2 linked regions of the Diceros bicornis minor genome follow. The protein of the gene in region 1 binds, or shares a complex with, the protein of each later gene. Links are inferred from orthologs where the notes say so. Each region holds a gene or a part of one and is shown on either strand. Other genes may lie near its edges. The genes, in order: MAP3K3 and CCM2.

Region 1 (15,710 bases):
GATGATTCTATTATAAGAGCTGGTTTATCAGGTTGACAAATTCTGTTTCCAGGAAGCTAACCAATTCCTGGCATTACTTAATGGATAAACTTGTTTGGTAGTTCCAGTGCTGAGAACACACTAGAGGAATGGTTTGGCACTATCTCTTGAAATCCAGGACAACAGACATAAGTGAAACAGGGTTATAGAATCTGATTTTGTGTCGAATACATTGCTAGAGGCAGACAGGTTCTTAAACTGATACTTCAAACTGAGGACATGGATAAAGACAGGAAGTAAATCAAGTGGCTCTTTTAGGCATTTCTTCCTGGATTGAGATTTTAACTGAATTATCAGCACTCCAGTATGGCATTCCTTAAAAAATAAAAACAAACAAACAAAACTTTTAAAAACAGCAGCTTTCTTAGAGTGCAGCAGTCAGATATATGGACTTTGGAGTCAGAAAGACCTGGATTTAAGGAGGCCTTGAACAAATCACTTATTTTCCCTCAACCTCAATTTCCTCATCTGCAAAACGGAGATAATAAAAGTATCATTTCACAGAGCTTCTGTGAGAGTTAAACAAAAAAAAAAAACTTTCAAATCATTCCTCATGACACCTAACCCCTGGTAATGCTAAAAAAAATGCTGGCTATTATTATCATCAATGGAAAAAGGTCAATGGGAAAAGACTGGAGGCCGCTTAATCAATCCTAATACTTAATTTTATTCATGAATTTTTATTAATATTAACAATAACCATTTACTGAGTACCTATCATGTATTATACATTAGATTGTTTTTGAAAGATATTTCAAGGTATTCAAACTCTAGGGGTAAAAGGATAGATGACACACAAATACAAGGTTATACAAATAAAGAGATTGAATTACACAATATACAAACCAGAGTACATAGATGCACATGTGTAAAAAAATTTTTTTTACAATGTGAGTAGCAAAAGCTTGTAGAGATGATTTTACAAAATTATTAACAGAATAAAGATTCTTTCAGAAAAGCAAGCTGTTCCAGCTATGCAGGAGAGCTTAAAAAATGAACTGAGGAGAGAAAGGTCATGAAAGTAAGTGAGGGGCAGAGGGGAAGAAAATAGAGTCAAGGACTGATCCTCAGTGAGTAGTAATCCGTATCGAGTAGAGTAGGAAGAAGGTATGCTGGCAAATAAGCCTTAAAGAGGATTAGAAAAAACAAAAGAGTGACACCACAGAAGCCAGGACCAAAGAAGGGCAGCGGCAGGCATAGGCCAGGCAGATCCAGCAGAGTGGTAGAGGCAGAAACAAAATTTTAAAGGGAATCAAGAAGCTGGAGATGAAAAGAAAATTGGAAGTACTGGAAATCAACAATGCATTTGTGAACTTTACATGTGAACAAGTTGAGGCACGGGTAATAGTGTGCTATAACCCCGAAAAGATTTCCAGAGGATGGGGGTGGTCTGAGCAACTAGGAAGAAGCACAGAGGAAGAAGTTCACTCTAGAGATTAAGAGGTTAAGAATCTAGAGGGGAGGACTATTCATAGAAAATAGAAAAGATGGGCCGCCCCGTGGCTTAGCGGTTAAGTGCGCGAGCTCCACGAGCTCCGCTGCTGGCAGCCCGGTTCGGATCCCAGGCGTGCACTGACGCACCGCTTCTCCGGCCATGCTGAGGCCGTGTCCCACATACAGCAACTAGAAGGATGTGCAGCTATGACATACAACTATCCACTGGGGCTTTGGGGGCAAAAATAAATAAATAAATTAATTAATTAAAAAAAATAAAATACAAAAGAAGGGATCTATGAAACAAGGATTAGAGTCCAGGCTTAAAAACTGGAAGCTCTTAAGCAGACAGATATCTATAATCATCCAGCAGCGCGTACTTTTTCTTCTCCTCATACCCTGACCTATGGCATGGAGGCTGCCAGGCAACACACTCTTCTCTCTTGAGCTCCAGGAGGAAGTCACTCTTCCAGACTGAACTATTACTTCTCTCTAAAAGCAGGGTCTTAACGCACTCCCATTCATGAATTCCCTTGGCTAAAAACCCAGAAAAGTCTCCAGAAGCACCATGTCCTTCAATAAACATTGTTGTCCTACATGATGTCCCTTTACTATGCCAGACACTCTTTTCCATATATACACATCCCCAAAGTAATATTTTAATCTTTGTTTTCACTTAACTAACAATGTTATTTCTTCATCTTGTCAACGCTCTACCCCGCTCTGCCAGATCATCTGATCACACTGCTCACCCAGGAGATCCTGTGCTTCAGAGTGTCGCTGAGTCAGATTTTACTATCTTACTCTTCATGACATTTCATATACTCCCACTGCCTCTACCCAGTCCATACCTGGGCAAACATCATTTTATAGCAAATATAAGCAAAAAGGCCCCAGCATCAATTCATAAGAAACTTGTTTCCTTCAAGGACATGGTTGAACCTTTGCTAGAGCTCAAAGTCAAATTCTTGTGTTTATTTTCTTTTTCTGGGATATAACAGCCCTTCAATACTAATTGATGGTGGTCCAAAATTTAAAAATGCATATTACAAAGTAAGCCACTGCTTCCTCATAAGAATCAATATATTACCACTATATTTTATTTTAATGTTTAATGAAATTAAATCAAAGGCCTGAAGACTATAGGGTTATGTATGTCATTCCCTGAACTATAGAATCGCTCCTTCCTGTGTACCTTTACACAGTTTTGACAAAGTACCTACGACACCTATTGCACTTATTTGTTTACATGTTTTTGGTTCACCTTACCTAACTGTAACTTCTTAAGGACAGAATAAATGCAGGTACAGGGCCTAACACTGCCCCTGACACATAAGAGACATTCAATAAATGGGCAAAGAATAAATGGATAGCTTACATAGATAGAACCAAGAAAACTGCTTCTTATCCTTTGTGTATTCCCCTAAGTAATGCTCAGTTGGACAGATACTTGCTCTTTACAAAAGCCTAAAATTCAGTTTTAAAATCCGACTATCAATTTTGAAAATATCAGAAATCTAGTTGTGACATAGCCATGTTGATTCATTAAATTGGGATCCCAATTTCAATCAAAACAGTTGCTAACGATTCCGAGTCTACACACGTGGTCAGATTCTAGCCAAACTGAATTGAGACTGATCTAACTAGGAGCTCCCAACAGACTTGGAACTCTAGAGACACAAGGTGTCTGTAAATCACAGTGATTCTGACTTCAAACCAAGCTATCAAACCAGAACCACACCACCCTTAATCCTGTACTCAGTTCACTATAGTTTCCTGTAACATTTCTAAGTTGTTACATACTTTTCAGTAATACTTCCCACTAAGTTTCAGATTGCATTTATGAAAAATCCAAACAGGGGCCGGTCCGGTGGCGCAGCAGTTAAGTGTGAGCTCTCTGCTGGGGCAGCCCGGGGTTCGCAGGTTCGGATCCCGGGCACGCACCGATGCACCACTTGTCAAGCCATGCTGTGGCGGTGTCCCATATCAAGTAGAGGAAGATGGGCGCAGATGTTAGCCCAGGGCCAGTCTTCCTCAGCAAAAAGAGGAAGATTGGCATCGGATGTCAGCTCAGGGCCAGTCTTCCTCACACACACACAAAAAAATCCAAACAAATGCTAGTAAATTAATCTCAGGTATTATTAACAGCATTTGCCTATAATTACTAAAACTAGGAGAGAATTCTAGTGTGACCAAGAAAAAATGACCAGTCAAGCCCCATTTTTTTTTAATAACCACACAGTATCAAAGCCAAAAAAAAGAACATTTCCTATTATTTACAGGGATAAGTGTAGTTTCCACTAGAAATTTACTGGGGCTAACAGCCAATATAAAATCTGACCTGTTTTTATTACCAACCCAAGTTGTCAAACAGGCTTGAGTTTGGGGCTTAGAACAACTCAGGAAAATACGACCCTTAACCAAAGAACCTGCAGGGCAGGGACTCAAATTAGTTTTAGTTCTTTCCTCACTGGGCTGGAGTTTAACAAGTGTAATGAGAATATGAATAAGTCCATGTTTCTCTCTCATCAACCACCTGAGTTCATCTAGAACCACAGCAACTAAAACCTGCGAATTTGAATTTTCATCATTTATACCACCAAAACGGACACTAGTATTTAAGCGAGAGACTGTGTGTGTATGTACATATTTATCCTTGCTGAGCCCTACATAAAGAGCCAGCTTCTGGGAGAATTCAGTATTAGCTCTAATTGCATGTCAAGGTCATCTACAAAAGACGGAGAGAATGGTATGCGGGGGTAGGGGAGAGTTCTGAAGAAAGCCAGGCAGTGGTTCTTTTTTTTTGGGGGGGGGGGCGGTGAGGAAGAGTGGCCCTGAGGTAACATCTGTTGCCAATTTTCCTCTTTTCGCTTGAGGAAGATTATCCCTGAGCTAACATCTGTGCCAATCTTCCTCTATTTTCTATGTGGGATGCCGCCACAGCATGGCTTGCTGACTGGTGTGTAGGTCCACGCCCAGGATGGGAACCCTCGAACCCTGGGCCTCCGAAGCAGAGCACACAAACTTAACCACTATGCCACGGGGCTGGCCCCCAGTCAGTGGTTCTTTTTTTTTTTTTTTTTTTAATTTATTTTTTTCCCCAAAGCCCCAGTAGATAGTTGTATGTCATAGCCGCACATCCTTCTAGTTGCTGTATGTGGGACGCGGCCTCAGCACGGCCCGAGAAGCGGTGCATCGGGGCGCGCCCGGGATCCGGACAGGGGCCACCAGTAGCTGAGCACGCGCACTTAACCGCTAAGCCACGGGGCCGGCCCTAGTCAGTGGTTCTTAAACCAGCTTGCCTAATATACTGCAGCCACCAAATGAGAAGACACTGAGTTTCTGGTCCTTTTTTCTTTGGGGATCTAGATCCTACCTACATAGTTCCTTTCCTCCCCATCACCGTCTCTCCATATACTCACATATTTAAATTTTTTGAAAATGTCTTGAAATGTGAAAACAGGCTGACATCTATTTTCATGTTAGACTATGAAATGTAGCCAACACATCTGGGCACTCTAACTAGTTTAGCAGTCAAGAAAGTGGGGGAGGGGGGAGTGCCGGCCAGCCCTGTGGCTTAGTGGTTAAGTGCGCTCGCTCTGCTACTGGCAGCCAGGGTTCAGATGCCAGGCGCACACGGACACACCGCTTCTCTGGCCATGCTGAGGCCGTGTCCCACATACAGCAACTAGAAGGATGTGCAACTATGACGTACAACTATCTACTGGGGCTCTGGGGAAAAAAAAGGAGGAGGACTGGCAATAGATGTTAGCTCAGAGCCGGTCTTCCTCAGCAAAAAGAGGAGGATTAGCATGGATGTTAGCTCAGGGCTGATCTTCCTCAAGAAGGAAAGAAAGAAAGAAAGAAAGTGGGGAGTGGGAGGTCTGCACACCGCCAAGTATTTCACACCCCCTTTGGGGCTTAAGACTACCCCCACAATTCAAAGATTTAGTTCAATCACCAAATTCTAGAACACAAGATAAATGTTTGAAGCCTGGGGAGGACAAGAAGAATTATGCACCCCATTTATAGTAAATGTTCAATAAGTATTTGTTCAATTACGTAGTTAAATACAAAGCCTTACTAGGTTCCTTTTTTGCCTACTGTCATAGGAGACTTTCCAAAGAGGAGCAAGCACTTCTGAGGTAAGGGAACGAAACAGTAAGCCCAGCAAATGAACAAACCCATCCCTTACTGAATGAGGGGCAGCATGGAATAGAACAAGGCAGTTCATTCAAAGCCAGAGTGTACAGACAGGCTGCAAAAGAATATCTGCCCAATGTGACACAGCATACACTTAACCCCCTACAAAAATGACTTGACCTTGCTATAGGGCAAAGCAAATATTAATGTTCTCTCTTCACATGGGGCACTTCACAGATGCAATGAATGGCTTTGCAAAGGATCCCTTCACTGAAGTTTACCCCTTTATTATTTAGGATAATACCAAATACTTTGCAAAACTTGTGATTGCGGACAAGAGTATCACAATAACTGATTCAACAAGAGAAGCAAAATACATCTAAAATGTTATTTGCTTCTTAATCTAGTCCAACAGGCATTTGCTAAGTTACCAAAAAGGACATGAAATACAATTCAGTTCAAATGCTGCGTGCGGAAGACATTAAAAGCCTTTCTTAGATTACATCTTCACAACAGAAATTGCAAATATTGATAAAAAGGAAATGATTTCATAGAGACTCTTTTGTGTAGCGAATGCTGCTCTCTTTCAAAAGTTACATAATTTCAGGGATACCGCAAGATAAAAATAATGGATGTAAAACACTGCAACCGGATTTTCAAAAAGCAGGATGTGAATTATAACTGGCAGCCCCCGACCAATTCCTAACCTCCAGCAATCTGCGTGCAGCTCGCATTTCTCAACCGTGCTGTTGATAACAGTGATTGCCGTTTTAATCACCTCGCAGCCTATCTCCCGCACGCCCTCCCCTCTGCTCCCGGGCGCGCACAGGGCTCGAGAGCGAGCCCCGGGAACTCTCGCAGGCCGGCCAGTGTGAGCAAAGGGAAGGAAATGACACAGGCAGGAAAAAAAAGCAAATCAAGGAAAAGACACAACAGCAGCTGGGCCTGCACCAGCCTCCAGCCCGGGCCCCACACTGCGCTCTCGCTCCCCCGCCCTCGGGCTCGCGGGCCGGCTCGCTCGGGCCGGAGCGGGCTGCCCCGCCGAGCACGGGCCCTCGACCCGGCCGCCGCTTCCTCGGGACGCGCCCGCCGCGCGGCCCGGAAGGAGGCTGCCGAGGGGGCTCCGCCGGCCGGGACCGCCCCGGCGGGCCGGGGGCGCCAGAACCCCCACCCGGGCCGCGGAGCCGCGAGCGGGGCGGGCGGGCGCGGCGGTCTGCAGCCCCGGCCGGGCGGGCTGTCCATGCCTGTCAGGCGGCGGCCCAGGGTCCTCCTCCCCTCAGCCCGGGGCGGGGCGACGCGAAGCAGCGCGGGCACAGGCCGGGGCGGTGGCGACACTCACCCATGGTGGCGATGGCGGCGGCGGCGGCTTGGGCCCGAGTGTCACCTGCGCAGCCAGGGCTGCATGCCGGGGGCCCGGGCGGCGGGGACGGCAGCGGCCCTGGCTCCGCGCGGGGGGCGCGGGCTGCGCTCGGGGCCCCCGCCGCCTCCCCAGGCTCCGGCTCCGGCTCCGCCCGCGGCCGGGCGCTGTGGCATGGGCAGGGTGGCCCGCTACATCCCTGGCGCTCCTCGGCTCGGCCCAGCCCGGCTTCGGCGGCGCCGCTCAACCCGCCCGCCCGGCAGTCCCTCAGTCTCGCAGTCTCTCCGTCCGGCCACCGTTCTCCACCTCAGGAACGCTCCGAAAAACAAACCGCTGGTCGCGCAGCTCGCCCCCTTGTCTGTCACTCACCCCAGCACCCACCAATCCCAGGGAGTCGCTGGACCTTCGTACCACCCCTACTCACTTCAACAGCCAATAAGAAGAAGGAAGCCGCTGCTCCCACCGCCCCCCCCCCGCTCCCTCCCCAACTCGCTCTCAGCCGCCAGCTAATCACCAGCACCACACGATGAACCATTCCCGCCTACTCTCACAGGATGCCAATGAGTGAAGCCACGGCTGTTTCTGAGGGCTGTCTACCGCCTGCCAATCATCGGAACAGCGCCTGGTTCACTCCGCTGCTAGCCAATCACGTAGAGGCCTCTGAGCACCCGCCTCTGCGCATCCCCCGGGTCTTGGCTGCCCTCTCTCCCCGGAGGTGTTGGTTACTCCAATCACAGCTCGCGCGTGAAGCTCCGCCCACATCCCCACCTCCCGTCAGTCACCGAAGGTTCGGCGGGCGCGCGGGCTGGCGCGGTTCCCCGCCGGCTACTTTGGGCCAGGAGTTTGTGACGGGGGCTGAAGGGGCCCCCTGGCCTCTCGCCCTCCTGGCTCTCGGCGGTCCCTGAAGCCAGCGTCCTGCCCTTCCCAGTGCCCACACCGGGCGCGTAGTAAGCGGAGAGCGTTCTGGCTCTGAGCGCTTCCCGGCGTGTGTCCACCTCTGCCACCGGATCCCCTGGCAAGTCCGCAGCTCCGGTCCAGACGCTGTGCTTGCCCGGAGGCAGGGGCGGCCTCACCACTGCCCGCCTTTTCCTGGGTCTCATACCTCCGAGGCCACACCCTCCGAGGGGCTGGGGTAGTGCTGGAATGTGGGTCCTTGGAAATATGGGAGTTCCGCTGCTGGCCTGGGCCGAAACCAGTAAGTGGCAAAATCAGAGCGGTTCTTTCGGGAAAAAAAAAACTTTTTTTTCTGGTTATAAAAGCAATACAAGCTCTTTGTATTAAAATTGAAAAAGATACTTAAATAAAAATCCCACCCCAGAAATAATTTTATCTTTTTCCTACCTAGATATACAACGTTTGACAAAGATGTCTTCATATTGGTTTGTAGTGTGCTTACATTTTAAGTGTTTTCCTGTGCTACTGAATATTGTTCCAAATCAATTGTACTGGCTGCATGATATTTCAAAATAGAGAGTGAACATAATTAATTTCCCCATTGTTCAACATTTTATACACTCAGATCTTCAGATTCCAAGTCCACCACAATTAATATGGGCTCCCTTCCTCTGGTCCCTGTTCAAGTGTATTATAAATTAGATGCCAGAATAATCTTCCTCAGATGCCATTTTCAACTATCAACTAAGAACATTTAGTGCTGGCTTTGCCTTGGGTGTTGAATCTCTCAAGAATTACCTTAGACTCCCATATTTACAACCCCCACCCCCAATATTTAATCAGGCCTCTTATCCTGTTAGGTTTTTTTTTCTCCAACAAGCTTTTAAGTCCATCATTTTCACTCTTGATTAGATCCCTACCCAGTTTATTGTAGTTCTTTAACTATAATAATCTCTCTTTTCTGGGAAGGGGAGATAAAGGGGAAAGAAAAGTAATATTTATCAGTCATTTACTATATGCCAGGTACATCATCTCATTTAACCTTTTCAATAACCCTGATGTAAGTGATACTATTGGCATTTAAATGATGAAAGTGAAGCTCAGAGAAGTACCATGTCCAAGTGGTAGAGCCAGGATTCCTACCAGGTCCATCTGACACCCAAAGGCCATGTTCTTTCACTAGGCTAGTGTTTCTTGACTGTTTTTTCATTATCACCCCCTAAGGAGAAAATTTTAAATTACTTAAATTCTCCCTAATGAGAGAAATTAAATACTAAGGAATAAGATTTTGTCAGGTAGGGTTGAGCTTTGAAGGCCACATACCACTGTATTATCTGATTTTTTTTCACCCCTTAAGAATCATTTTTCACCTGTTGGGGATATCACCCTGGTGAGAATGCATGTAATAGGCCAGTGCTGGAGGTCACAATCTGCCAATCTGAGGCTCAGATCTGACCCTTAATTTTATTGACCTGTGAGATAAATATTAAAAAGAGACACATTTATGCCAGTGGAAATCTGTACCCACTCCTTTGCCTGTATCCAGAGGTCTATTCAGCAGCTTCTCTTGGAATGTCTAAAACATGTCTCCAATTTAACATGTTTTACACTGAACTCTTGATTCCTTCCCCCCTTCCCAAAAAACCCTGCTCCTCTATCTTCCCAACTGTTACAATACAAACCTAGGAGGAATATTCCTTGATTTCACTCTTTCTCTAACACCCCTATATCCAATCATTCAGCAAGTCTTTTCAGCTTGCTTCAAATCGTATCTGAATCGAACCACTTCTTACCACTACCACCCTAGTCCTGGCTGCCACCCTCTCTCCTGGATGACTGCCTTACCCTCTTAATTGGTCTCATTTCCTCTGTGATCACCCAACAAATGGTTCTCCACAGAGCAGCCAGAGTGATCCTTGTAAAATGTAATTCAGATAATGTCACTCCCCTGCTGTCAAGTCTCCAATGGCTTCCCATCACACTTGGAATAAAACCCAAACTTTGTCGTGGCCTTCCAGGCCCAACAGGAGCTGGCCCCTGCCATCCTCTCCTGTCCCATGTCTACCACTGGCCTTCTTACCATACTTTGAACCTACCAAGTTCAGGACCTTTCACCTCAGGTCCTTTGCACTTGCCATTTGTTCTGCCTGGAATGCTCTTCCTCAAGATGTTCCCATGGCTAATTCCTACATTTCATTCAGGTCTCTGCTCAAACATCAACTACTTAACAGTTCCTAACCACCCCATCCAAAATAGTTTCTCTCTCCTCCGTCATTCTGTATCCCCATATTCTGCCTTATTTTTCTTCATAGTGCCTGTAATTATATATTTGCTTATTTGTCTTCTCTCCACCTACAATGAACATAAGCTATGTAGGAGCAGGGACTTGGTCCTGTTCACTGCTCTATCACCAACACTTAGAATAGTGCCTGGTATATAGTAGAGAACTGCCATACAACTACTAAGCCATAGCTGAAAAGAGCCTTCTGATTTTCCTTCTACTGTTCTAGTAACTGCTTTTTTTGAGGGCTTCATTTCCATTGTCTGTCCCTTAACCAGCCGTCTCAGACATTCTCACACTGCACTTAGCATACTGGACTATCTTCCGAACTCTAGAGGCGTCACTCCTTGCGTATCTATCCCATAGGCACTTTGGACTCCACAGGTCCAAACTGAATTCATCATCTTCCTCCATAGTTCTCTATTTCCTCTCTCCATCTTCAGTTCCCCAAGTTGGATGCCTTCGAGTTGTCTAACTTGGAGAGCTCTTCCTCTCCATTTCCCTTCCCCCAGAGCTAATCTAGACCATGTCTCCAATCTGTCCACTCCTCTCCTGTCCCCAGCTCCACCATCCTAGTTCAAACCACCAAAATCTCTTACTTGGATTAGTGTAACAGCCTCCCAATGTGTGCTTACATCACAGGGTGATCTTTTCAAAACAGACACCTGATCTTGTCATGCTCTGCTTAAAAACTTTATAGTTTCCCATCGCCCTTAGGATAAGTCAAATACAGGAATGTAGCTAAGAAGGCCCTTCAGGAGCCAGGCCATTCTCCAGCCACAAGTTTTTCATTTTCCCACCTCCCCAACCCTATCATTCAAATTCTATATTCTGGCCACACAGAACCACTGGCAATTCCTCAAATATGACTCTCTCCCGCCTCTACACCTCTGCATGTGCTATTTTTCTCTGTTTCAAACTCTCTTTTCCTGCACTCTTGCCTCCACCCCCGTTCTGTCAGGGAAGAACTAAGCATAAACATCACTCTCTCCAGGAAACCTTTCTAGGCAGATACCCCCAAATCTGGGTACCAGAGCACCTGGTACTTTCTTGATCAAAGTACTTGTCCTACTCTAATGTGATTGCCTTTAAGAAAGTAAACACAGAGACAGAAGCTGTGTCATTCAAATTGGTATGTCTAGCATCTTTCATAACACATTCAAAAAACAAGTATTTGTTGAATAAATGAACCTCAAATGGGGATGCTAGTAATTGAATATAATTTCCACAAGTGTGCCCTTTTAGCTATATATTTTATCTGCTCTTTCTATGTTGTTTCTCCCCTCACTCTTCATTTTCCCCATGTGAAGGCTCCCAGCTAGGCCATGCCTTCTCAATTCTGTTCCCCTGGTTTTACACTGAGTAGATGCCCTTGGTTAAGCACCTGAGCCATATCTGACCCCAAAGATCACAACCTACCCTTAGTGCTCAGGACCTCAGAAAATGCTGGTCCCGTTAGGCAGCCCAATCATACACCAGCTGGACAGTTTCCTTTTTTTCTTTCAAGAGCATAGGGACACTTGGACATATGATAGGGAACAATAAATACAAATTAATGAATTCTCAGTGAATTTGGTGTAAAAAAAAAGAAAACAAACCAACAAACTTATCACCTGATTTGAGGAAAATTCTTTTAATTCAGAGGTAAAGTGGAATATATTCAGATTACCAATTCAACCAGTTAGTTTATCTGCATTGTTAAGGAATGATGTACATGGAAAATTTTTACAACCATGATGTTTTATATATTACTGACATTTATTCTAAAGAAGAATCTCTTTCATTTTGAAATTCCATTCTATAAATTTATCCTAAAGAATACTTTGCAAGTGAGCAAAGGTAAAGAATGTTCATTGAAGCATCTTTTGTAAGATAGCAATCCACACCTGATCTTAGCCAAAAGGCCGAGAAGCGATAAGATAGCAATCCAAATGTCAGCTGATAGGAGACTAGTTAAATAAATTATGGTGTATTAATTAATACAATAAAATACTATGTAGCTACCAAAAAGAATGAAGCAGACTTCTCCATACTACCTTCAGGTGTCCATGATATAGTAGGAAGTGGGAAAAAAAAAACAGGTTGTAAAGCAGAAATGTACACAGTGATCACATTTCAATTTTTAAAAATGTTCATTCATACTTGGTGGGAAAAAAGGCCAACATTTATTAAACACTTACTATTAGTAGATACTGTTTTAAATTCTTAACACATATTAACTTATTTCTCAAAACAGCCCTATGAAATAGGTATTATTATCCCCATTTTATAGATAAAGAAATAGGTGCAAAGAGATTAAGTTCTTGTTCAGGGTTGCTAGCAATTGGCAGAGTCAGAGTTTGTTCCCCAGCAGACTGGTTCCAATGACTGGAATAGAGTAGATTGTTAATGGTGGTTATATCTTAGGAGATAGGATTAGATGGGACTTTTTTGTTGTTGTTACATTTTTCTGTAAAGTTTGACTTTTTAAAGAAACAATAAATGTTACCTTTTTGGCCTAGACGAAAGAAAGACAAAAAGAGAAAAAAGTGAAAACTGCTGTCCCATTCACTGTCTGGGGGTAGATAAGAGAGAAAGTGATTTCAGTTAAGACTAGTATGGTATCTATCTTAACACTCTCTTTTGCCAGATCTATTGGCTCATTTATTTTCTCTTCATAGAATGTCTCCAGAGAAGTTCCCAGGGATTCAAATAAAAGTCTAGAAGTTGGCCTCTCTTAGAGTTTGAAGCTTTATTGACTGATATAGTCTAAGCTTCAGAGAGAAAAAAAAAAAAGTAACTCAACCACATAGTTGAATTTCCATGGTTGGCTGGAGGCAGAACCTTCACTGTTCCTGCTCAATTCAGTCGGGGCCTCTGGCAGGGGGGTGGGGTGGGGCACCCACCTACCGCATGAACACTTCTTGTAAGAGTCAAGGCTACGGAGAGAGATACCTCCATCCACTGAAAGGACACTTGAAAGTGAGCCCAAGCCAGCTGCAAGGTGTTGAATGATTCTGTGCTGCTAAGACAATGACCAAAGATAAGGCAAAGGCAAGCCAGGACCAGACTCCGTTCTTCTGACTTTAAGGTGCACCTGACTCCCGGCCTCTCATGTGCTGTCTCCCTAGATGGACAATAATATGACAAATTTTCTTTTTTAAAAAATGCTTCCCCTGATAAAAGTAATACATGATTTTAGAAAATAAAGCTCAGTTATAATATCATCACCCAGATATAACCAGTTTTGGTATTTTGGTACACTTCCTTCTTGTCTTTTTTAAAAAGTTCATATATACAGTATGATACATATTTTAAAATTTGGACCATACTATACATATAGTTTTGCATCTTTGTTTTGCAATTAACATTATATTGTAAACATTTTCTCTGACATAAAATATTCCTTGAAAAATAATTTTTAGTGGCAGAGTAACTCATGCCCTCTCTATTTAACTATTCAGTTATGTAGTTAGTTAACTATTTAATTTATGTAGCTAAGGGTCTCTATACCAGATCTAGAGGCAGAACAGGTCCAAGTAAGGTTTCATTTCCACCTTTCCCATATTAACTACAGCAAAGACTGCACCACCACCAGGGGTCAGTGCAGAGCTGTCTAGTATGCCTTGATGTAAGAAAATTAGTTACACAAGAATCCATATTAACAAATCCTATTAGATTAGAGGACTACTCATAGGAGTAGCCAAATTCCCTCCCAGAGTGGGCTCCCATAGTGCATATTTTTCAGATCAGAAATTATCAGAGTCCTCTAAATTAATTTATATTCAACATTTACAAAACAGCTATTTTTATAAACCAAGGTCTATCAGTACAAAGTGTACTATTAGACCTGTTCTCATCTGCTTGGTATGAGATCATTTGTGCATAAAACACTTGGCCTATTTTATAGGTTTGTTATGAAAAGCAAAAAAAAACCAAACAAATGAGGGCCGGCTCCATGGCGTAGCAGTTAAGTGCGCACCAATGCACTGCTTGTCAGGCCATGTTGTGGCAGTGTCCCATATAAAGTGGAAGAAGATGGGCACAGATGTTAGCCCAGGGCCGGTCTTCCTCAGCAAAAAAGGAGGAGGATTGGCATGGATGTTAGCTCAGGGCTGATCTTTCTCACACACACACACACAAAAAAGTATCTTGTAAATTATGAAGCAGCATTTAAACTTGAAGTTGCCCTATTTCAATGATGTGCTATTCAGATATTTGGATGAGTTATGTCCTATAAAAACTAAAGAATCCCAGGTAGTATCAGGATTCTGAAATGAGGTATAAGAGCATATGCTTTGGCATGATCATGGATTATTTCATTGCTTTTCCTCCCCCTAGCCTTTGCTCTCCAGCTGTTGAAGTCACTATGGAATTAGTAATCTGTTTTTCCTAGAAGCTGAAGTTAACATTTATACCCAATTTGGTGTTTGTTCTTTTCCATCCTCATTTACTTGAGGCTCCTTCAGGAAAATGACTCGTGAGCTCAGAACTGCTTAAACAATTTATAAGTAGGTGAATGACAGGGATCAAAAAGCTACTCCAGGCCCAACATGCTTGATGGGCTACAGCACAGGTAGTTGGCACCCCTGGTCTCTCTAAACCCAGAAGTGATTCTTAGGAGCAAAAGGCACCAAGGGCCCTATTTCCTACCTGGCCAGGCTTCTGACTCACCCCTTCACCCTTCCTTCTGTTCTCCTTTCCTCTCCAGTTTCCTGTGCTCCATCATTTGGCATCAGGGATGAAAAGGAGCTAGGGTTAGGCATTCTGGGGACCAAGCAGCTTTCAAAACCAGCTTGGCATAGCCTTGTCTGAGAGCAGTCCAATCTGCTGACAGGTCCACTCTGACCAATCTCAGAACACACAGGGGCCTGGGCAAAGTAGGTCCTGGTAGTCCCTTATCATTGGCACTTGATTTCCTACTGGGTTAGAGCTTGAAGCTCCCTGGCAGAAGCAGGGCACAGAGGCCACATGAAGAGAACAAGGATGCATGCACAGCAGCTCACACTGCCCTGGGACAGCTCCAGTGGAGAGCAGTCCTGTGTCTTCCCTCTGAGGTCCTTTGTCTTAGAGCAGGATCTAACACAGGGCACCAATTAAATAGCTTGTGCTCCTGATAAGTGCAGTTTCTGGTACATAGTAAGTGTTCGATAAATATTAGTTGCATGAATCAACGACAGGTTTAGGCCATTAGACCAGCAGCAGAGGACAGAGCGCCTGAAGAGAGTTACATTTCTCTGGTCAATCAAAAAAAATAAATAAATAAACAACAGTCCTGGGACTGGAGTAGTGGAACTAAGCCCATAGACTTGAAAGGAAGTCAAGAGGGTCCCAAGAGCTGGACATAAACCCAGGAAAACTGAAGGGTCATACAACAGCGATGCAGCAAACCAGATCAATCACTGTTATTATTTAAGAGCAGTTTCTAGTACACGCGCCCTCAGGGCACCTACCATCCCCACAAGGGCCAACTTCCTGAGATCAGAGTCTGATCAGCTGGCTGGCGCCACCCTGCATCCAGGAGGGAGTGGGGGGACTCATCCAGGAGGGCTCTGACATACCAGCAGAGCTGACAAAGAGGCC
Region 2 (15,810 bases), on another chromosome or scaffold:
ACAGGTGACTCGCACACCGGGTTTTCCTTATGAACAGCAACACAACAGGGTCAGGCTCACCACTGTTCTCGTATGTTCAGAATTCAACTATGCTTTCCACCTCCTGGGTTACAAGACACACGGCAGTTCACTATCCTAAGCCTCAAACAAAAGCCCAAATTCCAACCTCCTACTGTACTTATTGAAGAGGATTATTTTCACTGCACGCCTGCGATCAAATGCCCTAATTTTTAACACGATCCAGCAAAAACTGCTACTGTTCAGGCACACTTAGGAGGAAAAACTGTAACATTTTTGGCACTGGCACAGAGCTAAAGAAATTTCCTTTTTATTTCTACTAAATTGACAAATACAAAGCTAAATTCCCTTACAACCGCATAATCATTAAAACTGAGCGCATTTCAAGAGCCGTTGCTCTTGGATTGAGGACTAAGAAAGAGCAAGCCGAGCAGCAAACAGTGCCAAAGCAGAGCAGTGACGCAGGAGCCACGCAAAGATGGCACGAGGCTCAGCGCACCCCCCTGCAGACCTTAGGCGGAAAGCCCATCATGGGCCACAGGGCACAGCGAGCGTGCGGTCTGCGGCCCACACAGAGCACAGGGTGGGTCATCCTGCTGCTCTGAGTAGCTCATCTGTGTCTGGTGCAAGAGTGGAGGCCAGGTCCTCAGAACCGTTGGGCTAGGTTGAGACTGATTCCCACCACGCAGTCCTAGCACTGGGCCACTGAACTAGACATCAGGCTGACAACTAGGATTTGCTTCAGAATATCCTGCTTAGTCTGCCCTAACAAACACCACAGACCGGGCAGCTCAAACAACAGACATTTATTCCTCACAGTCCCGTAGGCTGGAAGGTGGAGATGAAGGTGTCAGCAGGGCTGGTTCCTCCCGAGACCCCTCTCCGTGGCATGCAGACAGCTGTCTTCTCCCTGTGTCCTCATATGGTCTTCCCTCTGCATGTGCCTGTGTCCCAATTTCCCCTTCTTATAAGGACACCAGCCAGATTGGATCAGGGCCCACTCTAGTGACGTCATTTAACCTAAATCATCTCTTTAAAGGCCATATCTCAGACCCTTTCTCCGTTGCTGGGGACTAGGGCTTCCACATATGAATTTGAGGAGTACATGGTTCAGCCCATAACACCTGGGGAGCAGGGGTGGATGAGGAAAAACTGAACCTGAAACAAGCTGCCCATGCACCAACCATGTTTGAAGTTGGGGCACGGGGATGTCATTACAACATTTTCTCTATGCTTCTACTTGATGTCTTCATAACAACAAGGTTTTCTTATTCACTCTTAGCAAAGCACGCTTCCTAAAGTTCCACCCTCACCTGTCCTCTGAGCTCCACTTCAAGCTCTGCGGCCACAGAGCACATCCAACTCACCCGTCTCCCCAGTATCTGCGCCTGGCACATAGTCCATGCCACTGAACGGTTCTTAAAAGAATAAATAAAAACCTCCAGTGGCTTCAGCTGCACACATGACTAAACCCAAACTCCCCCACCACGCCCCCCAGCCCTCCCAGCACTGCGGGGCCTCGGTCTCCACCTCTCCTGCTTCTGAACGTCACGTACATGGTCCCCCACGTGGAATTAGCTGACACCCACCCATGTCTCTCCTGACACGATGGCACTGGCCCTCTCTCATTTTCTAACGTTGTGTGAGCAGCTTACTCTTCAAAAAGAATGCAGTGTCCTCAACCCTTCTTGTCACTATAGTAAGCATGTAATAGACACTCAAATAAATAAATAGGATGATTTCATGCTGATCAGCTAAATCTACGGTACTTAACTGTGGCTGTTAACTAACACGAGAGTGGTGATGAGGATGGAGGAGTTGGGTTATTATTGCTGACAGAAATGAAGAAATGTTAAGACCAACAGTAACTGCAGTGACCAAACTCACTGGGTACAGAAGGCACTTGTCCCCAAACTCATGAGGCAGAATGCTGAACGCCCTTCTCATTTCAGAGCAGCCCCCCACTGCAGTACCACTGCTAAGAGAAAGGTTTCCCTCTACACTATCTTCCCCTCGATGACGCTCAGAGCAGTAACTGAGAAGCACTACAAGATTCTGATGTGCTTTCTCAATCTAAATCGTCACAGTCAGTGGGTAACAGAATCTGGGTCCAGGGACTATATAGATCCTTACGTGGAAAATTAATAAATACATGATACTATATAAATAGTAACTCTCCAAACCAGAGAGGAATGAGCCTCATGTTTGCCGGTCATTCCAGACTCGTCTAACCTATGGTCTCCACCAGGCACCTTCTGCCCTGGTCTTCCGGCCTCCTCACCCTGGGGCGCCACGTTGCCCTGCAAGAATCACTGTGACAACTATCTAAGAGGAAAGATATAACAAGGTATAGAGGCCCAAATTCACTTTGCTAACCCATGTTACGGCTATGACAGCTATAGAATCAATTCAGTTATAAAAGCAATTTAGTAGGTCATGACCAGCAGTATTTTTAATGAGAGGAAAAAAAAAAAAGAATGGAATAAAAAAATCAGAGAGCATTGCTTGTAGTAAGCACCATTTCTTTAAACTTTCATTTCAGCTATAAACATTTACACACAAGTGCACACATCAGTGGAGAAGGTATGGCTGTCTGATGGCTGGAGTTACAAAAGTTTTAAAGGCAATGGTCCAGCCCAAGCTCCCAGTTCTTCACAGACACTGGCTGAAGGAGGATTCTGCAGGTACATGAGCTGATAATCCAGGGCCCATAACCTAGGGGATCTTTTTCTCCCCTTTTATATGGAAACTCTCAAAATTTCACAGAAGTAGACAATATAATGAACACCCATTGCCAAAGAATTCAGCTATCTCTCCTCTTTTTTTTCCTAGTTTGAGTAAAGCAAATCTCAGAAATCATAGTATTTCACCTATAAATACCTCAGTATCGATGTCTATCAGATCAGAACTTGACAAAACATATTACAACTATTATACCCAACAAAATCAATAATTCCTAATTATCATTTAATATCCAGTCCCACATTTCTAGTGTACCTTATAACCTTTTTTTTTATTTAAAGAATGCAACTAAAGTAGATCAATTTAAAAATATTTAACTTTGTTCAGGTTGAAATCATGGCCACCAGTAGTGCGACCCATGACCTAACAGCAGGAGAAGCAGCAGAAGCCATGACCCAAACAGGGTTGAGGCCCAATGGTGACCTCCCACAGCTGTGACTTCTCATGGGCTGTGACACTCATGTGAGTCAACTGTTTTTCTAAAAATGCACACAATCCAACTCAAGTGTACACCTAAGTTTCTTATAAAAAGAAATTACATCCTAACAGAATAGTGTCGAAACACATGGAACTTGGGTGCGTTTTGTAAGGAGGCAGCCTTATTCTCCAAACCCCAAATCAAGACTTGTGGTCTGAAAGGTACCAGTCACTCTGGGGACATCCAGGCAGGAGAGTGACCCCGGTGGTCGTTCCTACTCCCCGGACCCCACATCTCTAGCAGCCAGTGGACTTCTCTGTCCACACACTCATCCCGCAGACGTACCACGACCTATCCATCTCCCCACTGGCTCCACCTGCATCCCCATCACCCAGCGCCTTCCATGGGACATTATAGGGGCTCAAGTCACCCTCACCATATGTGCCAGGGTAGCCTGAGAAAGAACATGGCTGTACCTGGGGCAACTTTATATGAAATCCACTCTGGTCTACTGGGTCTCTGGCAGCTTGCTGATTCCTGCCCTGAGGAAACAGGCCACGTTAGAACAAGCCTGAATAACTGCTTAACAAAACACTAAGACAAGTGTCTGAAGACCAGAAAAAAGCTCACCAATCCACATTTTTAAAGGTTTAAATGTGTGTTTTTTGAAGGAGCTAACTTGGAAAGAGAATTTAAATGTCTAAACTGTACTTCCATAAAACTATTGTCATTACTTCTGCTGTTTGAGCTTGAATTTGTGTATAAGTTTTAAAATAGGTATCTCTAGTTCATTTACCATAATGAGAACAACTTAAGTACCAAATTTCACGAGTTGGAAGTGACTTCACATCGACTAGGGGAGCAGGGCAGGAAGGTTCTGCCAGCTTGCGACTGGCAGAGAGCAACGGGCACAGTGTGCTAAGTTATGGCCTGGATAAGAATCCGTGCCCCAGAGCTCTCCGTCTGGCCTGCCCGTGGGAAAATGAGCTGGGGCAGTGGCAGCATAGACAACACAAAACTCCAGGCTCAGGCAACTAGCTGACAACTGATTATCTCCTCTAACAGAGACAATGAAATTCATCATTAACCTTCTCTATGCCTAATCTTTCCATTGCCCCCAACTCCAAAATTCTTGAGTTTTACTGGTTTTTTCACTTCCACTCCAAAACCTCAGAAATGTCTTACTGCTTCTGTCACTCTCAACATTACTCAATGTTTTAATGTTTCTACCAAAGCTCGTAGAAGGCTCTAGAAGAAATTCAGTCAATCCCATCCAGGTTAGCACCCACTTGAAAGGAGTGACTCTCCTTACCAGGCACTGTCTGGCCTGATTGTGGAAGATGTTGTGTGGCAAGGACTGGTGTTTGCGGGGAGTGAGCTAACTATTCTGTAGAATGCTGGCAGCCAAGAGCACTGGGGACAGGCCATCTCCTATAAGGGCCCTGGCCCACCTGCCTGTCTGTGACAGAGAAGGAGGGGATTGACTGAATTTCTTCTGGAGACTTCTACCAGCTTTGGTTGAAACATTAAACTCAGCTTTCCTCCTTTGTGGTGGGCAGCATCCCTCTGCAGTCCAATGCTTGTAGGCTGAATTACTTTCTTAGGCTGTTTTCCAGACTTAAACCATCTTTGCAGGTAACCACAACAGATATGGCATTTAAATTAGACATGCCTGTTCATAATGTAACAAAACAATGAGTAAAGAAAGGGAGGGAAGCAGCACCACACAATCCCCCGAAGACCACCTGGTTATACTCGATTTCAAATACGACCTTTTTAAAATGAGGCACCTTGTAAAACGAGGTGATGAGCAATCGTCAACTGAAGGACACAGCTGGCTCTGAAGAGTGGACGGTGGTAAGATCATAGGATTTAGCAAGGTCTGTTTTAAACTTGTGCATAAAAGTGCACACACACATTTATGAAAACGAAAATGGTAAGACATTTAAGCAGATTATAAAGCCTGTATTTGAAAAATATGCATTTAATTGAAACTCACTTTCCATTTTAATGGTAGCTTATCTCACGTGGTTATTTCAGTCTCCTTACAATGTTGAGTTTCTTTACCAACTGCTCTAGCCTGTAATTAAAGCCACATTTTTAAAACTACATAAACTAAGAAGCGTCTGAACTATGTCCGAAATCCAACTGCCAAATGTAATGTCACTAACATCACTCAGCTGGTATTAGGTAGGGCAAAACTAAACCCGTGAACGAGCTGTACCGCGAAGCGCAGCTTTTGCTTTTACTTGATATCAAAAATTGACGCCAACTAAGCGGTAAACGTTTCTACATTAAGCTTACACCCCATTGTCTCTAAGATACCAACCGTGGAAAACTTTCCGGGCCCTAACCGGGGCCAGCTCTTCTGCAGCCACTGGTCACTGACCCGAGGGAAAGGCCATGTGGAGAGCCTAGGTCTGGGGAGAGTCACTGACCGGAAGGGGCGGAAAGGCGTGGCTCTTTCCTCCCCCGCCCGCCGGGCCGGCGGGACCACCTAAGCCCATTGTCCAGGGGCTCGCCTCCTACCCCATCCGCGGAGAACGACTCCCGAGGCCCCGTCCCGGGCCTGACCGGGCGCTGTCCGCCGGGGAACCTCAGCCTTCCCGCCAGGGTCACTACCAACCGTGTGCGCCCCCGGACCTCCGCACGCCGGGCCTCCCCGTCCCGGGCCTCCCCACGCCGGGCCTCCTCAAATCAGACTCCCTTCCCTGGACCTCCCCAAGCCGGACCTCCGCGCACCCCACACCAGCAGACCGAAGGGCGGCCCCGAGGGACCCTCCCCTGTCCCCCCGAGCCCTGGCCCCTCCGCCCGCCTCGCCCTGGGGTCCAGCCCGCCCCCGCCCATGAGGACGCGCCCACGCACGCTCACCTTCTTGCCCTTCTTGCCTTCCTCCTCCATGTCGCCGCGAGCGGCCCCCGCGGCCCGGCCCGCCCCGCCCCGGGAGCCCCACGTAGCCCGCAGCCGCTACATGCTCGCCGGGCCCCCACGGCCGCCGCCACTGCCGCTGCTCCTGCACCGCCCGCTCGGCCGCAATCTCCACCCGCGGCCGCCAGGGGCCGTCGCTGCCCCGCGCCCCGCACCCCGCACTTCCGGGCCGAGGGGCGGCCACGCCCCCGCCACGCCCCGCGATCACGCCACGCCCCCCAGCCCACACGCCACGCCCCCAACCCTTCGGGGCAGCCGGGAACACGCCTGCCCTGCCCCGCCCCTTCAGGGACGCGGGAGCGCGCCTCTTGCGCCACTTTCCCGCCCCACGCGCTTCAGGGAGGGCGAGAGCGGGTCTGCCCCGCCCTCAGCTGCCTCCCGGCCCCTCGTGGCCGTGAGAGCGACTATAGCTTTTTAATTCTGCCGCCATCCTTAGGGCAAGCCACTTCCCAACCTGCCTCGCGCTCAGGGAGGCCAAGCTCAAGCCGATGGGAAACGGAGGGCTTGGCCGGCGGGCGGAGGAGGGCGGGGATCGTGGCAGGCGGAGGGAGGAGCGAGTGGGAAGGGGCGGGGCCTGTGGGAGGTGAAGGCGGGGTCTGCAGGAGGGTGGGGCCTGTGGCAAGGTGAGGGCGCGGCTTGCAGGGGTCCACTCCCTTTCTTTTTCTCATTTTGCCCTTTCATTCCCACTGCCACAGTGTCAACTTTAAAATAAAATAGCCAATTATTTTACTAGCAAAATGAGTTTATTTGGGAATGGCAAAGGAATTGCAATTTGGGACATGCAAACTACAGCGAACCACAAGCAAGTCCAGAGAATGAAAAAGGGGAGCTGGAAGGGGCTATTCTAAACAAAAGTTCACTGGAGGACAGTAAGAGTTCAAGGTGGTGGCTGCTCCTCATTGGCTGAGTTGGGGTGTTTTCCACTGGCTGAGCTTGTTGCCAGGCGAGAAGAAAATCTTCCTTCCTCCTGCTGGGGTAGTAACGTAGTAGCCAAGTTCCTGCTGGAAACACAAGGTACGTTTATTTCCATTTGGGGTAATTGATGATGAATGGTAGGTCGTGTAGAGCTCCCTCTACAGGCTTTCCCAACTCCAATTTTAGTTGAGATTTCCTTTATTAATTTTCACAACCATGAAGACCTTTTCTAAGACTTCTTCTGTTTTTTTGTGTGTGAGGAAGATCAGCCTTGAGCTAACATCCATGCCAATCCTCCTCTTTTTTTTTTTTTTGCTGAGGAAGACTGGCCCTGGGCTAACATCCGTGCCCATCTTCTTCTACTTTATATGGGACGCCGCCACAGCATGGCCTGACAAGCGGTGCATCAGTGTGCGCCTGGGATCCGAACCCGGGCCGCCAGCAGCAGAGCACACGCACTTAACTGCTACGCCACGGGGCTGGCCTCAGACTTCTTCTGTTTCAATGCCTGCGTTCCTTAGACAAACACATCAGGAAAGTGGAAATTCAATAGCAAGCATGTCTGGACCCTATCAGAATAAAATGTAGAACCTCAACAGTCACCTGGAATAACTGCCACCCTTTTACAGATGAGGTCCAGAGAATCAGGTGGTTTGCCCAAAGCACACTGCAAATTGGAGCCAGCAGCAGCAGGCCTACTATTTTGCCACTAAACCAAACTGCCAATAGGAACCATGCAGCACAGTTAGAATGTAAACTGATGCCAAACAAACCAATATTTGTCTCAACTGATATAATTAAAGTATTGGATCCTGTGCCAGTGTCAATGTATTATCTCTCAGCTCCATATTCACTCTCATTCTCTGCTCTGTGGGATGGCACTGGGCCCTTTGAGCATTCCTCCTTTTCCGCGTGGTCCAGTGTAAAGCTTTGCCAGTAGAAGCTGCTGGGAGGCAGTGTAGGAGGAAGGGGCTTTGCTGCCTGGCTCCAGTGAGCTTTCTTGGCAGGCACCTGCAGAACAAGAGGCCTCTGCAGCACCCACCTCCCAACATCAAGGGAGCTCCTCCAGTACAGGTGCTCCGCAGCATCTGGCTCTGCAGTGCACAGCTGCCAGCAGATTCCCCCAGCATGCACCTTGGGAAGTTTTATATCCAAGTGCTTCAGCAAGACACCTCCCCACGAACAGCTTTCCCTGCCTTCTAGAGGGTGGACTGCAGGTTCTGCCAGCACTTCTCTGCCATTCGGCGAGCTGTAGCTATGCGCTCTCCAAAAGTCTGGATCTCAGCCCTGGGGGTGTAGGGGGGTTTCTTCCCTGGGAGCTTTATCTCAGCCCTCAGAATAGTAGCTGCTCCTTATGTTTACTATTCTTGCATTCTTCAGTTCTCTTCACTTTTACTAGCCAATCTCTTGTTACCCTAATCCCATTATACTTAATAATCCTTTATATTAAATCTTTCCTGTACCATGTTTCTGTCTCCTGACTGGGCGCTATTTGGTACAGATACCAAAGAAATAGTTGGTGTCTAGCACTCCCCAAAGGCATTAGGTATTCCAGTCCCTTTGGCACATAAAGCAGAGCTGCAGGAAATGACCTTTCAATCTACCTTCTGAGATAATTTAGCTTACTACATTCACAGACACAGATAATGCAGGGCATTTGGTACTTATTCTCCCACCATTCTCAGAACAGAGGCCTGATATTTAAGGTCTTCCACTAAGACCTTTCCATACTTGTCACTCTGTAATGCAGTAAATAACACTGCTAAAATTTTCCTTAACCTGTGTTTTAGGAAAAACTCAATCTACTCCTGTATTTCTCCTTTACTCTCACTACTACCACACTCACAACACTTCTGACACCAGATGTGTGGGAGTTTTTCCCATATCATGCAATTCTGTGACACCAGCTGAAAGTCCTACACTTTAACTCCATTCTGACACTGTCTATCTGGAGATCGCATCAGATCCCACAGGTTAAGGACTCAGTCCCACAAGACTGCCCTGCCCCCTACTTCAGATGCCAATCTCAAGTTCAGGTTGTCACATGTGCTTCTGACCAATCAGCTATAAATGAGAGGTTCCCACAACCCCCTCCCTGGGTTTGATTAATTTGCTAGAGTGGCTCACAGAACTCAGGGAAGCAGTTTACTTACTCTTTACCACTTTATTATTAAAGGATATGATAAAGGATATAGATAAACACCCGGATGGAAGAGATGCCTAGGACAAAGTACGTGGGAAGGAGCACAGAGCTTCCATGCCCTCTCCTGAGCAGACCACCCTCCCAGCACCTCCACGTATTCACCAACCCGGAAGTTCTTCGCACCCCAGAATATTGGGGTTTTTATGGAGGCTTCCTCACATAGACATGATTAATTATTAACTCCATTTCCAACACCTCTCCCCTCTCTGGAGGATGGAGATGGTGCTGAAAGTTTTAAATTTCTAATCATGGTCTTTCTGATGACGAGCTCCCATCCAGGAACCATCCAGGAGCCCACCCAGAGTCGCCTCATTAGAAAAAAAGACACTCCTTCCACCCAGGAAATTCCAAGGGATGTAGGAGCTCTGTGCCAGGAACTGGGGGAGAGACCAATATGTGTATTTTCTCTTATCTCACAACCTGACCCTAGGCTGACTCTCCTCAGGCTTCTTCAAATCCACATACACAAGACCAGGCTTCAAGTAAAATTCTGCCTACTAATAATCAGATGGTAATAATTTTGGAAATAAACAAGGACCAACCAAATGAGAACAAGCAAAGGCTATGTGTTCAGAGTTGGCTATAGTGAGAGAGTCACCCTCGTCACTTGGTTTGCAAGAGACCCAAAGGCAGGCAGGGGATGGGGAGAGTTTCATGGTGGAGAAACGGGGGCTCAGGGGTGCCCTGGCATTGTGTGCCTGGGGAAGCTGGAGGTGGGCTAACTAGAAGTGGGGTGTCCTCATGATTGGTTAGGGGAATGTGTTTGACTATCTCTGGTTGGTCCAAAGTAGGAAGTGGGAACAAAAATTAGGGAAGTTGTCAGTTATTCACCAAGTCCTGGTCATTTGGCTCATTTGGATTGTTACAGGAGTTATTGTGTGGCTTCCCAGGTTGTCACTAGAGAAAGCAGCCTGAGTTCCACCAAGTCTGACTTACAGCAGCTGGCTTCCTGTGCTGGTTGCTGCAGGTTGTGGGTCAGAGTTCTATTTTATAATTGGTCCACTCATCATCCATTTGTATACTCAGTCTCTCGTAACAGACCCTGAAGAGGTCAGCTGCAGTGTTAACATGAAACAATATTTCTCCCACGGTCACACCTCAGCTGTAAAGTGTCCTAACAGCCTCCTTCTTTTTCATGGTCACTGCTTTCTTACCAATAACCTCCCTAGCCTTCTCTGTGGCCCCAACCCATGAACAAAAATAACTGAGACCCAATTACTAAATTGTCTGCACTTCATGGAAGCAACAATCTAGAGCTGAGCCTCACTTCCCCTCTCCCCTCCTCGGAATTATTCATTGCAATCCCAAATCTTACAGAACCCCCTTTCTACTCTCATAATGAGAGGCAGCCCAGAATCCTCTGGGCTTCTCCCTTGTTGCAGCAAGTTAATTAACCGAGGTTTGTTGGATGCCTGGTTTGTCCCTGGGGGACTTGGCTGTTGGGCTTTGTCACCCAGCTCAAGTATCACCTCTTCCACTAGACGTTTGGATGCAACTTTTCCCTCCTCCAGCCCCCAGAGCACTTTATTCATATGCCTCTGATGCTGGAGTTAACCATGTTAGGACATTTCCTCTACTAGACTGTAAGTTCCTTTAAAGATAGGGACTGTATGAGATTCCTTTTTGTATCTGAGAAGTTCTGAGAGAAATGGCACACACCTGGCCAGACTAAGATGAAAGGGCACTGATGTTACCTGAACACAGCTTCATACACATGCTTCCTAGCTAGACTAGTTTTCAAGAAACCCCTGAACAACTGAAAATTACCCTCGATTGGCCTACTCAAAGACAGTTTTCCTGGACTCACAGTTTTGCTAGTTTCCAGGTAATTTTTTTTAAGTGAATCTTTTCACTGTTCCCAAGGCTGACTTCAGTTTTTTCCTATTTGTCCCTCTCACCCATCAACTGTCTCCCTCATATAAGAAATAAACAGCTAGCAGATAACTAACTAGATGCCCCTGAGTTGTTCTTTGACATATGTCATGCTACACCTCATACTGTGCTGTGCATGTGATAAATCCAACGTTGACTTAATTAGCAAAGAAGAGAATTTCTTTAGAGTTGATGAAACCAGCAAACAGTTAGCCATTGATGATTAAGTAGCTAGGAACTCAAGTTTTTTTTCCTTTTTGCAATTACTGGTTATAGCTTATAGCTGTTTACCCACCCATCATCAACTGTGCTGTTTAGGCAATATGCTAGCCGACTCACACTAGGTTCCTATAGATAACATCTCCCTGGAGCTTCGATCACCATGGTAATGGGTGTTTGAGCTGTTTTTCAGGAATTAGAACCCCTTGTCCACTTCAGGCCAGTTAAGACCACCAACCCATCAACTGGGCCCACGAACATGTCTGATAAGCAACCTTTTGATGTCAAGAGGCTAAAACTCCACCCTCAGGTCACAGTGACGCTGCCAATTTGTGAACATGCGTCCTATGAAGAGGCATGAAGTCTGACTACACTTGCGCAGATCATCAATTACCTCACCTCCCCTCACCTCCAATCATCTACCTCCACATTTCAGACCACCTTGCCCCCTACTCCATAAATATCCCTGAGTCCCCATTATCGAGGAGGTGGATTTAAGACTTGTTCTCCCGTTTTCCTCACTTGGCTGCCTTGTGATTAAACCCTCTCTCTAGTGCAATCTCGTTGTCTCGGTGTTTGGCTTTCTGGGCGACAGGCAAAAACAAACGTGGTTCGGTAACATTGATTCAAGTGAATTCTCAATGAATTTATACATCCGGTTTCTGAGCCTGTAAATGACAACGGACCAATCTGATAGATAAATGGCAAGCAATAGGATATATTGAGGAATATAGACTATAATGAGGAAGCCACTTGGTGTAAAACTAATTCAGCCTGACCTTGTTTTTCCAGAAGGGCCTGATGTGGCCTTTGAACATGCACTGTATATCTGCTTTAAGGATTTACCATGTCCCAAAGACAAGAACAAATGCCCTTAAGATAAGGATGCAATTTCCCCCACATTGGCATTTCCTCAAGGATAAGCATTCCTCCCTAGGCTAGGATTTGATTGCTGTGCTCATCCTGTGACCATCTAACTTGAGACAACAGACCTTCTACCTGCTGTGCCCATCAAGACAGCAGGCCTGATACCAGCTGCGTCCATCAATCACTGGGCCAACAGGGCCATCTCATGACTTTTGTGAAAAGGACATTGCAATCACATGTGATACATGCTCTTTGACAGTATATAACCACTCTGCACACCCCCACTTCTTTGGAGTGTTCCATTCCTTTATGAAAGGACTCTCCCGGGCTATATGGTCCTCAAATTTGGCTCATGATAAACTCACCCCAATTTTGATTTATAGATTTATAGATTTATAGGTTATGGATTATTTGCATTGACAAGACCAACTCTAGATCATAATGACCCCTCAGAAGTACAGCCACCCCGTGTGGCCCCAGTGGAAGAAACCTTGCATGCCCTACTTTGATATCTCCTTGGTTATGACTCTCCACATTCTTCCAGAGCCAAATTGCTAATTTTCTTTTCAGGCATATATTCCAACTGGCTTCGAAGAATAATGGAGTTACTCTTTCCAGATGTGGTTTTGGAAAAAGTTCTCAAAATCCTCGTCAGCAGATAAGATACTTAACTAGTGACAGTCCTATCTCTGTGCCAGTCTCATGCAGCCTCCTATAGTATAATGCACTTGAACTTTGATTATGTAGTTTTTAATGTTTGGGCATCCTTTCTTATTACTTGGATAAAAGTTTTGATGGAGCATCTTCCTCTCTCTAGTGAATTTTGTTGGTTATCATCTTAGGAAAAAAAGCTCTTCTCTTTCAGCCCTGGGAGAGCTCACCATTTTTGATCACACATATACACTCACACCCTCACACCCATACTCTGGCCCTCCATAACCATTTACCTTCCTGGTTCTCTTTGATTATCTCATGGCAGAGTGACAGAATGGAAAGAGCAGTGAACTCTGAGCTAGAACAACCTGCATCAAACTCTAGCCTTCTATGAGATCTTGGGTGAATATTAGTTTCCATGTTAGCAATCTGGAAGTGATACTCCTGCTCTCTCTCATCAAATTTAATGAAATAATGGGATTTGTATGCTGTAAACTGCTTGAATGTATATACTAGGTGCTATACATAAAATATGAGTTTCAAGTACTGCTCTGCTTTTCCTTTACTTACAGAACCAAGTTCTCACCTTCCTAGCCTGATAGTCAAGACCCTTGACTGTGTAGTCCTTATCCAACTCCCCTTAGACTTAACTGGATCCCTAACAAGCCATGCTCTTTCCAGTCTCAGGACCTTGCGATGTGCTTTCCTCAGCGGGGGGGGGGGGGGGGGGGGGGGGTGCGGATAACTAAAAACAAAATCTCCTCCCAACTCAGAAAACCTCTTCACAAAAGGAGAAGAGAAAGAATTTTATTGAACAAGCATTAAACCAGAATGTGATGCGCATCACAGGCAATCCACTCAAGGGATACAAGGACAGAAAGAAAGCTCACTCTCCTATACAGCTAAGTGGACAGAGCCCATTACACTAGATAGCTTGTGCAATTTGGAGTCAGGTGACAAGTGGGCCCTTAACATTCCAGGACACCGGAGATCGCGCTTTGTCCCCCTTGACAATTACATTTCAAAGTCAGAGCTCCCGGGTCCTTGGGAAATATTCCTGACTTGTGAGACTAGCCTGGGCTTACCTAGCCATTAGGGGTTTATCTCCATTTGAAAAGTGCAGAAAATGACATTCTGAAAGCAAAGAGGCTGTCTTCCCCCTTTTCAACGGGGACGATCCCGCGTCCCGCTCCTCATTTCTGGGGCCTTCCGCCCGCCCCGCTCCCCTCCCGGTCTCCGGTTCCTTTACAAGGCCCACCCCCGCTCCTTCCAGCCCCTGTCCCCACCCAGCTTCCGCCGGTACCACACTTCTGCCAGCCATCCTCAGAGAAGACCGCGCCCGGGCCCCTACGTGACGTCATCTCCCTGGGCCGCGCCGGGCCCCCGGGTCACGTGACGACACGTGCGGCCTCCGGCGGCCCGCGTGATGACGCAGGCTCGGGCTTGCCGGGTAGCAGCTATGGCTGGTGGTTGAAGCGTGTTCCTGCGGCCGCGGGCTGCTCCTGGCCATCGTCGTCATCCGAGGCCATCGAGGGTCCCAGGCCGTGCTTGCCCTCTGCTGAGGCCGGGTAAAGATTGTGGGGCCTCGGGGCCCGGTGGGAGGGCGCGCTGGCCCCTCAATTGTCGCGGGCTGGGCTGCGTCGGGCGGGTGGGGAGGGATCCGGAGGTACCTAGCCCGGCCCGGTCGGCCCTGCGGCGGGCGGGGGTCTCCAACCGAGCTTGTGAGGGTCCCATTCGGAGGACACATGCGGCCTTAGGGGCAGCGCTGGGGGAATGGGGTTGTGGGTACGGCCTGCCCCGAGGAGGAGGACTCGGGCGCGGTAGGAGGCCGGCTTGAGCTGGCGGCCTGCCTTCCAGGGGTCGGCCCTCGACTCGGTCGCAGTAGTTCGTCGCGGGGACGCGCTGCTGAGTGACGCTGCGCGGGTCCCGCGTCCACCCCGCCCCGAACCATGAGCGCATGGGCCTCCTGTTCTCTCCACCGTTATTTCACCGGGAGAACCGAGCCTACTTCTGTGTCTTGGCCTACAGTTCCGAAGTGTTTGCTGAACGTAAAATACATACCGAGAAGAACGTGGAAGAAAAGGCCATTTTGTGTAATGATGTGATGATAGGAATGTTTCTGCGGTCGCATAAGTGTAGGAACCTCAGCTCTAGACTTACACGGTCATAGGGAGTACACTTAGCTCCCATCGACTTATCTGCTTGATAAGGCTCTCTCTCCCGAGGCTCCTTCCCTCGCTCCCTCAGCCAGAAAGGATCTGTGTCTGGGGTCCATCGCTTCCTACCATCGGCCCGAGTTACTTGTGCTCGTGCGCTCGTGGAAGAAACGCACGTAGGCCCAATTCAACCCTATGGTCTCTTCTCTCGGCTTCCGGTCGGGGCTGGGGCTCAGCGCGTTACTGCTGCGTGCCCCGAGCTTGAGCTCAGGGTTTGAGTGAGTGGGCCGCAAGCCTCCAGCGTGCTTGGGTCTGGGGTGACCCTGTGCATTCCTACAGTGCTTGCGAGAACATTTTGAAACGGTTTGAGGCCTTGCCCTGCTCCATCCAGAGCAAGGTTATAGAAATTTCAGACAACTGCTTGCTCCCTTCCCTGTCTGGTGTGCAGAGTGTTGTATAGATCTGTACTGTCTGATGTAACCACTTGCCACATATGGTTAAGTTGAACTTAAATAAATTTTAAAATTGTTTTTCATCTGCACTACCTACATTTCAGATACTTAATAGCCATATTTGGCAAATGGCTACTGTACTGGACTGTGCAAAGTATAGAACATTCACATCTCTGCAGAAGTTGTTTTGGACTTTGGGTGTTTGCTGTGTTCCAGGCTCATTGCAAATTTTATTGTACTCTTAAAACAAAAGCCTTAGAAAAGTTGAAAATAAAGCTCCGAGGGAGTGGTAAAGGTGGAGTTGGACCAGCAGCAGGGAGTAATGAGTAGCAAGGAGCAACAGGGATGAGCCCTGCCTTGAGGGC

What was found.
Region 2: the proteins of MAP3K3 (region 1) and CCM2 are in contact, whole or in part, in a crystal structure (PDB 4Y5O), measured with the Homo sapiens proteins. The link is inferred for Diceros bicornis minor from reciprocal best matches to the Homo sapiens genes MAP3K3 and CCM2. Residues at the interface, in NP_002392.2 of Homo sapiens: Asp2, Glu3, Gln4, Ala6, Leu7, Ser9, Ile10, Met11, Asn12, Asp13, Leu14, Val15, Ala16, Leu17, Glu50, Asp82, His84, Met86, Asn88, Glu89, Leu90, Ser91, Ile92, Leu93, Arg117, Leu119, Leu121, Ser122, Gln123, Asp124; in NP_113631.1 of Homo sapiens: Leu299, Tyr302, Met303, Leu306, Arg307, Ser312, Gln313, Ile315, Gln316, Gln317, Phe318, Ala319, Ala320, Leu321, Leu322, His323, Glu324, Arg326, Glu333, Ile336, Asn337, Gln340, Leu341, Leu353, Phe356, Pro358.

What each region holds. Positions count from the first base shown.
Region 1 is NC_080757.1:46,475,030-46,490,739, reverse strand, and holds the start of MAP3K3 (mitogen-activated protein kinase kinase kinase 3), read right to left. Parts: upstream 7,347-15,710; 5' UTR 6,960-7,346; coding exon 6,956-6,959; intron 1-6,955. UniProt on the Homo sapiens protein: Component of a protein kinase signal transduction cascade. Mediates activation of the NF-kappa-B, AP1 and DDIT3 transcriptional regulators.
Region 2 is NC_080780.1:1,909,928-1,925,737, reverse strand, and holds the start of CCM2 (cerebral cavernous malformations 2 protein), read right to left. Parts: upstream 6,112-15,810; 5' UTR 6,081-6,111; coding exon of another isoform or gene 6,051-6,080; intron 1-6,050. UniProt on the Homo sapiens protein: Component of the CCM signaling pathway which is a crucial regulator of heart and vessel formation and integrity. May act through the stabilization of endothelial cell junctions. May function as a scaffold protein for MAP2K3-MAP3K3 signaling.